Stegostoma tigrinum: one gene and its partner. Each later gene encodes a partner of the first gene's protein in a complex. Links are inferred from orthologs where the notes say so. Each region holds a gene or a part of one and is shown on either strand. Other genes may lie near its edges.

Region 1 (3,919 bases):
CAGAACATGGTGCTACAACAAATACCTGCAAAAGTAATTGATGGTGGAGAATCGATCTGATACTTGAAATAAAATTAGAAGGAGAAATCAAGTTAAGATGTCAGTGTCCACGTTGGAACTGGTGAAAGGACATCAGCCTGAAAAATTGACTTTGTCTATTCATAGATGCTGCCAGACCTGCCACCCAGCATTTCTGTAGTTTTTTACATATATCTCTATACAGTTATACATGTATACATACTAACAGGCATAGATAATGACATTGTTGTCTGCTGTGCAAAATTAATGCAGGCATTACTATTTCCAAATAAATTCTGGCCTCCATTCTCCCCTCTATCATCCTAATTTGCTCAGAGCCCTATTTCTCCCATTACACCATGCTTGCTGTTCTACATTGCTTGAGTTATTGCAGTATTCTCATTTTAACATTCTTGCACATATCTATGTGTTTAGTTATCTCTGTGGCCTCAATCTTCTTCGGTTCTATAATCCTCAGATATTTGCGCTCTCATAAAACTGCTCTCCTCTGTATCCCTGATTACACTCATTGTTATTGTTTTAATTACTTTGGAAACCCATGTGAAGAGCTTTGTTTTACATGAAATGTGTTGTCTAAGTACAAGTTGATGATTGCCAATGAAGTGAACACAACTCAGGCTGGGCAGCTCCAAGGATCTAGGCCTGAAACGTCAGCTTTTGTGCTCCTAAGATGCTGCTTGGCCTGCTGTGTTCATCCAGCTTCACACTTTGTTATCTCTGTACTATTGGTTGAAACTCCTCTCCTGTTGTCTATTCAACGTACATTGACTTTATTGAGAGATAATGGGAACTGCATATGCTAGATAATCGGAGATAACAAAGTGTGGGGCTGGATGAACACAGCAGGCCAAACAGCATCAGAGGAGCAGGAAAGCTGACGTTTCGGGCCGACACCATTCATCAGAAATGGGGGTTCTGAAACAAATAGGGAGAGAGGGGGAGGTGGACCGAAGATGGACAGAGGAGGGTAATTTCTTCAGGGTAGGCATCCTTAGAAGAGGCTTTGCAGTGGATTGTTGACAGTTTCTGTTTTATTTGCAAATTTGAGTTGGAACATTAGTTTGCCTGAAATAACCTATGCAAGTGATCCTATGGTTGAGAGGGTCAGGACTGTACGGGGTTCTCAGATTAAAAACACCAGCTCAATGGACATGGATAGTTGGTAATGACAGAGGCATTGGCAGAGCTGAGACCTGGACATTGTTGCGCCTGCTCTTTGACCCAGACACTCTCCCTGCCCCGTCCCCTGACGTTGCGCCTGCGCAGTGAGGAGGCGGCGGTGCTGGAGTACGAGCGGTGCCGTTGTTAGGGAGCTGCCGCTGCTTGTGGCTCTGTTGTGGGACGATGCTGAGGAGTAGGGCCCGGGGCCTGGCCCTGAATCTGTCCCGGGGCCTGCACGGACTGTCAGGCCGCGGCGGGAGGCTCAGCCCGGGCTTGCGGCTGGCATCAGGTTCGGTGCGGACTGCAGCCACGGTCTCAGCCGGTAAGTGATCCCGGGCCCTGAGCTGGGGCGGCGGTAGGACTGAGGGCCGCTCTCACCGGGTTTGTACTTTTTTAGGTCTCGGGGAGGGAGTGAGTCCAGAGGCAGGCGCCCGGGAGCAGGAGGCCGTCCACAGCCGCCGATATCAAAGCCACATCCCCAGCAGCCGGCTCCAGAAACTGCTGCTGGCCTCAGGATCCGCTCTCATGGCCTTGTACAACCCGTACCGGCACGGTAAGATCCCACCGACAGCAACACACTCATATCCTGGACCTTATCCGTCACCCTGGGGAGGGTCAAGGTCACCCTGGATCAACTGAGCGGGATCAGAGTTGTCCTAGATTCACTAGGAAGGGTCAGGGGCACATTGAGGAGGTTCAGTGTCACACTGGAGCCACTGGGGATGATCAGAATCAAACTGGATTCACTGCACTGTCAGCCTGTGTTTTTGTATTCAAGCCCCGGAGTTAATCCTAGCTGAAAGGACTGCTGTCTTGTAGTTTAATTGTGTAGCATTTATGACGTGAAGCCAGTTTGTGATTTGATTTGATTTGATTTATTGTCATGTGTACCTTAGTACAGTCAAAAGCTATGTTTACAAGCAGTACAGGTAGATCATAGTAAGCAAGGATGTGCAGATCATAAGAGTGAAAAAAAAATTGGACAGAGGCATACAGGCACAGGGTGAGTGCTAGGCAACATCAACCTTAACAAGATAAACATTATGTGAAGTTGGAGAGGTCCGCTCACCAGTCTTAATAACATCTGGGAAGAAGCTGTTCTTGAATCTGCTGGTGTGTGTTCAAGCTTCTGCATCTTCTGCCTGATGGAAGAGGTTAGAGAGCACTGATGGGGTGGGATCGGTCTTTGATGTTGGCTGCGTTTCTGCGGCAACGAGTTGTGTAGATGGAGTCCATGGATGGAAGGTTGGCTTCAGTCATGGTCGGGGCTGTGCACACCACCTTCTGTAGTTTCTTACAGTTCTGGGCGAAGCAGTTGCCGTAGCAGGCCGTTATACACGGGACAGTAAGCTTTCAATGGGGCATCTCTGGAAGTTGGTGAGGGACCTTATGGACGTGCCAACTTTCCTGAGCCACATGAGGAAGAAAAGACATTGTTGTGCCTTCTTGACTGTTGCATCTACATAGGAAGTCCAGGACAGATTGTCGGTTATCATCACTCCTAGGAACTTGACACTCCCAACCCTGTCAATCCCAGTTCCGTTGATGTAGATGCAGAGGGGTGTCCTTTTTTTCTGAAGTCAATGATCAGTTCTTTGGTTTTGCCAACAGTGAGAGAGAGATTGTTCTCATTGCACCACGTAACAAAGCCCTCCGTCTCTTTTCTGTATTCTGCCTCGTCATTGTTTGATATCCATCCTGCCATGGTCTGGGCCTTTTTACTCAAATTTGCTCTCTTTTCTTCTTGTTGCAGATATGGTGGCTGTACTGGGAGAAACAACAGGGCTACTGGCAATCCAAAAGCTGCGAGACAGGATGCAAAACCATCCTGAGGGATTCCAGATTCTGCAGTAAGTGCAGCTGCAGTATTCATGCTGGAGTAGAGGCAGTGATAACTGGTAAAAGGAGCCGGTTGCTTGAATTTGATCTTGATAAAGTAAAAAGGAGGATAGCTGAAATAAAGGCAGAAGATGCTGTGAATACAGGGGCAGAGGGCGTGACACTGTGGGCAGAGATAAAGGGGTTAGAGGGTGGGTCACTGGAGGTGGCAGTGGTGTGGGGTAATGTCACCAAGCCAGTAATTCAGAGCTCCAGTCTCATGCTCTTAGAATATGGGTTCAAATCTCTACCGTGGCAAATGTTGAAATCTGAATTTATTACAGTCTTGAATTGAGTGACAGTCTAATGGTGACGATATAGTTGCTGGGCTGAAAAATCTGTCTGGCTCTTTAATGTCCTTTAGGGAAGGAAATCTATCATACTTATCTGATCTGGCCCACGTGACTCCAGACTCTCAGCAATATTACCATCTAGCCAAGAAGCAAACCTAGTTCAGTGGAGAGTGCACAAAGCCTGGACCAGCACCAGGCATACCTAAAAGAGAGTTGTCGGCCTGGTGAAACTATCAAACAGGACTGCATGCATGCCAAACAGCAGTGATAGACAAAGCTTAGCGATTCCACAACTGATGGATTAGATCTAAGCTCTGCAGTCCTGCCACATTCAGTCGGGAATGGTGGTGGACAATTTAACAACTCACTGGAGGAGAAGTCTTCACAAATTTTCCAAACTTCAACGTGGAAGGGCCCAGCACATCAGAGCAAAAGATAAGACTGAAGTGTTTGCAACAATCGTCAGCCAGAAGTGCTGAGTGGATGATCCATCTCTGCCTTCTCGGTAGTCCCTAGCTACCAGTCCACAGCCAATTCGATTCACTCCA
Region 2 (3,919 bases), on another chromosome or scaffold:
CGCCTACACTCACATTTACTGGCTCCATCCCCGCCTTTTTGACCTGTCTGTCTCCTCTCCACCTATCTTCTCCTCTATCCATCTTCTATCCCTCTCCGCCCTCTCCCTATTTATTTCAGAAACCCCTTCCACTCCCCCACTTCTGAAGGAGAGTCTAGGCCTGAAACGTCAGCTTTCCTGCTCCTCTGATGCTGCTTGGCCTGCTGTGTTCATCCAGCTCTACACCTTGTCATCCCCCCATACCAGAGATCATCCTACTGAACCTTCTCTGAACTGTCTCCAATGAAACAATATCCTTCCTTACATAAAGGGTCCAAAACTGCTCACAGCACTCCAGATGTGGTCTCACCCCACACCGTATAAAGTTGCATTAACTTCCCTACTCTGTTCCTCCAACCCACCCTGAAATTGAATGAGACTATTTGAGCTTAATCTGTCTTTTACTGAATAAAAAACCAAAAGATCTGTGGATGCTGTGTATCTTTCACGCAGCTGTGCTGGCTACCTTTAAGAATTAATTGAGGATAGAGATTTAATACGTATGGATGTTTACCCAACACGAATCCTGCAACATTCCAGAAAGGCATTAGAAGCGTCGGCCGAACTCTGTGATCAACTATCAATTCATTAAATTTCTCCAGATGTTCCTTTTCTTGATCCCACATTTGCTGAAACATGAATATTAATTTCAGTTAATTTACTGCACCATTGATATCAATTATCGAGCACATTAATCTGCTGTCCATTAGGATGTTTATTGATTAATAAAGGGATCAGGGATTATGGGGAAAAGACAGGAGAATGAGCTTGAGAAGTGTATTAGCCATGATCGAATGGTGGACTGGACTTGATGGGCTGAATCGCCTAATTCTGCTCCTATATTTTGTGGTTTTAGAGCAAGTCCCTACTGTGTATTTTAAACAAACATTTTTTCTTCACATTTCAACTTTTCCTTTCCCAGAAATAGTAAGATTTTCTGTTATTGTAGAAATCAATGAGAAATCTATCTTTAATTTAGTGACAAAACTAGTCATAATCAATATAATACTTCGTCCTAGTTTAATAAAACAGATGACCAATGAGGTAACTTCAGTTGGACGGGAAAGTGAAAATATAAACCTTCTATTCGAGAAGGGAGGTAGAAAACAGAAAAAAGTAGGCCAGTAAATTTGATGTCTGTAAAGAGGAAGCTATTAGAATTGATCATTTAGGAGGTTAAAACTGGGCAAATGGAAAAATTCAATGTAATCAGGAAAAATCTTAATAGTTTTACTGGAATTCTCTGAAGCAGTAACATGTTCCATGGTCAAGGGGAGTCCTACTGATATACTTGATTTTCTTGAGAGCATCTGATAACATTCTATACAAAAGATTTTGCACAAAGGAGGATCTCATGGTATAGGAAGTAACATATTGGTATGGATAGAAAATTGGCCAGCTGGCAGAAAACAGACAGGATGCATAAATTCTTTTTTTCAGATCGGCAACACATGCGATCCCACAAGGGTCTGCGCTGCGACCTCAGTTTTTTTAAAAAAATTGATGTCAATTACTTCATTGAGGGGATTGGCTAAAATTGATGACAAAGACAGGTAGGAAAGAATACAGTGAAGATGATATAACAAGGATACAGGCTGATGTAAACAAGTTGAGTGAGGTCAAAAATCTGAGAGAAAGTTGTTTCACTTTGGCAGGAGGAATAAAATAGCACAGCATGACATGAATGGGAAACAACTGCAGAATTCTGAGTAGAAGAGGGTCTTCAAGTGCATGAATCAGAGAAAATTAATTTGCAATTACAGCATTTAATCAGGAAAATAAATTGGATATTGAAATTTATCACCACAGGAAATAGATGGAAAATTAAAGATGTTAATGCTTCAGTTATACAGGACATTGGTGAGACCATATTTCAAATACTGAGTGCAGTTTTGGTCTTCCTCATAAGGAAGTATGTAAATGTTTTGGAGAGGGTTTGTTGAACCTTTATTAGATTGATAGTTGGAATGAGCAGATTTTTTAATGCCAAAAGTTTGGACAGGCTGGAGTTATTTTCACTGGAGTTTAGAAGGCCGAAGGGAATTCAATCAAAGCGTATAAGACTGACAGGTCTTGACAAAGTGGGTGAGGAAATGATGTTTGATCTTGTGGGTCAGTGCAGAAGCAGGGAGTGCTGTTTCGAATTAGGGGTCACCCTTTTATGACAGAGAGAGGAGTTTGTGCAACTTTGGAAATTTCTGCTCCAGAAGACAGAGTCATTGTACATTTGTAAGGTGGAAGAAGTTAGATTCTTGTTGGGAAAGTGATTCTAAGGTAATCCAGGGTTAGTGCAGCAACCTTGAGGGGCCAAATATCTTACTTCTGCACCTCATTTGTACAAATAAAAGCAAGTGGCTGTCACAGCAAAATTTCACCACCACATTCCCAGTGCTGCCTGTAGTTTCTATGGCACCCAGAGTCTTCGGTTCCATATTACAAAGTGAAGAGTGTTCCTCTCCTTCAGGTCCAACCTGTGGGGTGGTGTAAACGTAGCGCATTGGCTGCTTCATCGACTCTGGGAGAGAACGGGGCCTTGGAAAGATCATACAAGGACAGACTTTTGAAAATTCTTTTGTAAAGCAGTTTCAGATGCAGCAATTCAGTTTAAAAGAAGATGTGATTTGCTCTAAGTAAATTCCTGTGAAATGTAGAGGGAGGTTGCTGACTAAATGATGTGTAAACATTTAGCTGCTAACACGGGTTATTGTCAATGCCAGTCTGCCAGGAACCTACAGCATTTCTCTCACACTCTGTGGTAAATACCTGGATGATAGGCCCCACGGGGCTGCGGCCCAGCACGGCCATCTGCCCGGCATAGATGCGGTTAGCCCCGTACTCCCCGGCGTGATCCACTCGGATGATCCGGCCCAGCATCGCCCTCTCGGCCGAGCCGCTCAGGGCCCTAGCGGCCTTCAGCCCAGGCCAGGGACTCGGCTGGAGGGGCTGCAGGGGAGGCCTGGCATTCCTCAGTAGCGACGGCGAGCAGAGGGCGGACACTCCAAGCCGAACGCAGGCTCCGGTCTTCGCCATCCCGCAGGCCGCCCCGGGCTGAACGAAAGGGGGCGGGGAGACAGCCACACTGAGCCCCGCCCCTTCAGCAGGACCCCACCCCACCACGGCGACCACGCCCCCACAGCTAGGCCCCGCCCCCTCACCGGGAAACGTCCCACATGGTCGAGCCCCGCCCCATCACCGGGACCACGCCTCATAGGCAATGGGAACTGCAAATGCTGGAGAACGCCAGGTAACAAGGTGGAGAGCTGGATGAACACAGCAGGACAAGCAGCATCAGAGGAGCAGGAAACATGCTGCTTGGTCAGAGATAATGGGAACTGCAGTTGCTGGAGAATCCAAGATAATAAAGTGTGAAGGGTCTAGGCCCGAAACGTCAGCTTTTGTGCTCCTGAGATGCTGCTGGGCCTGCTGTGTTCATCCAGCTCCACATTTCATTATCTTGGATTCCCCAGCATCTGCAGTTCCCATTATCACTTCATAATCTTATATGTTTCTGTAAGATCTCCCCTCATTCTTCTGAATTCCAATGAGCATAATCCCAGTCTATTCAGTCTTTCCTCATAATCCAACCCTCTCAACTCTGGAATCAACTGAGTGAATCTCTTCTGCACCTCCCCCAGTGCTATATATCTCTCCTCAAGTAAGGAGACCAAAACTGCACACAGTACTCCAGGTGTGGCCTCACCAGGACCCTATACAGCTGCAGCATTGCCTCCCTGTTTTTAAACTCCATCCCTTCAGCAAAGGCAGTCAAAATTCCATTTGCCTTTTTAATTGTCTGCTGCACCTGCAATCCCGCCTTCAGCAATTTGTGCACAAGGACACTCAAGTCCCTTTGCACAGCTACTCCATCTACCAGACCTTT

What was found.
Region 2: coq4 (region 1) and coq7 share a complex: the UniProt entries of both Homo sapiens proteins name them as parts of the multi-subunit COQ enzyme complex. The link is inferred for Stegostoma tigrinum from reciprocal best matches to the Homo sapiens genes COQ4 and COQ7.

The regions. Positions count from the first base shown.
Region 1 is NC_081382.1:2,449,642-2,453,560, reverse strand, and holds the start of coq4 (ubiquinone biosynthesis protein COQ4 homolog, mitochondrial), read left to right. Parts: upstream 1-1,286; 5' UTR 1,287-1,383; coding exon 1,384-1,522; intron 1,523-1,597; coding exon 1,598-1,753; intron 1,754-2,953; coding exon 2,954-3,050; intron 3,051-3,919. UniProt on the Homo sapiens protein: Lyase that catalyzes the C1-decarboxylation of 4-hydroxy-3-methoxy-5-(all-trans-decaprenyl)benzoic acid into 2-methoxy-6-(all-trans-decaprenyl)phenol during ubiquinone biosynthesis.
Region 2 is NC_081376.1:54,706,770-54,710,688, forward strand, and holds the start of coq7 (5-demethoxyubiquinone hydroxylase, mitochondrial), read right to left. Parts: upstream 3,124-3,919; 5' UTR 3,070-3,123; coding exon 2,803-3,069; intron 669-2,802; coding exon 554-668; intron 1-553. UniProt on the Homo sapiens protein: Catalyzes the hydroxylation of the 5-methoxy-2-methyl-3-(all-trans-polyprenyl)benzoquinone at the C6 position and participates in the biosynthesis of ubiquinone.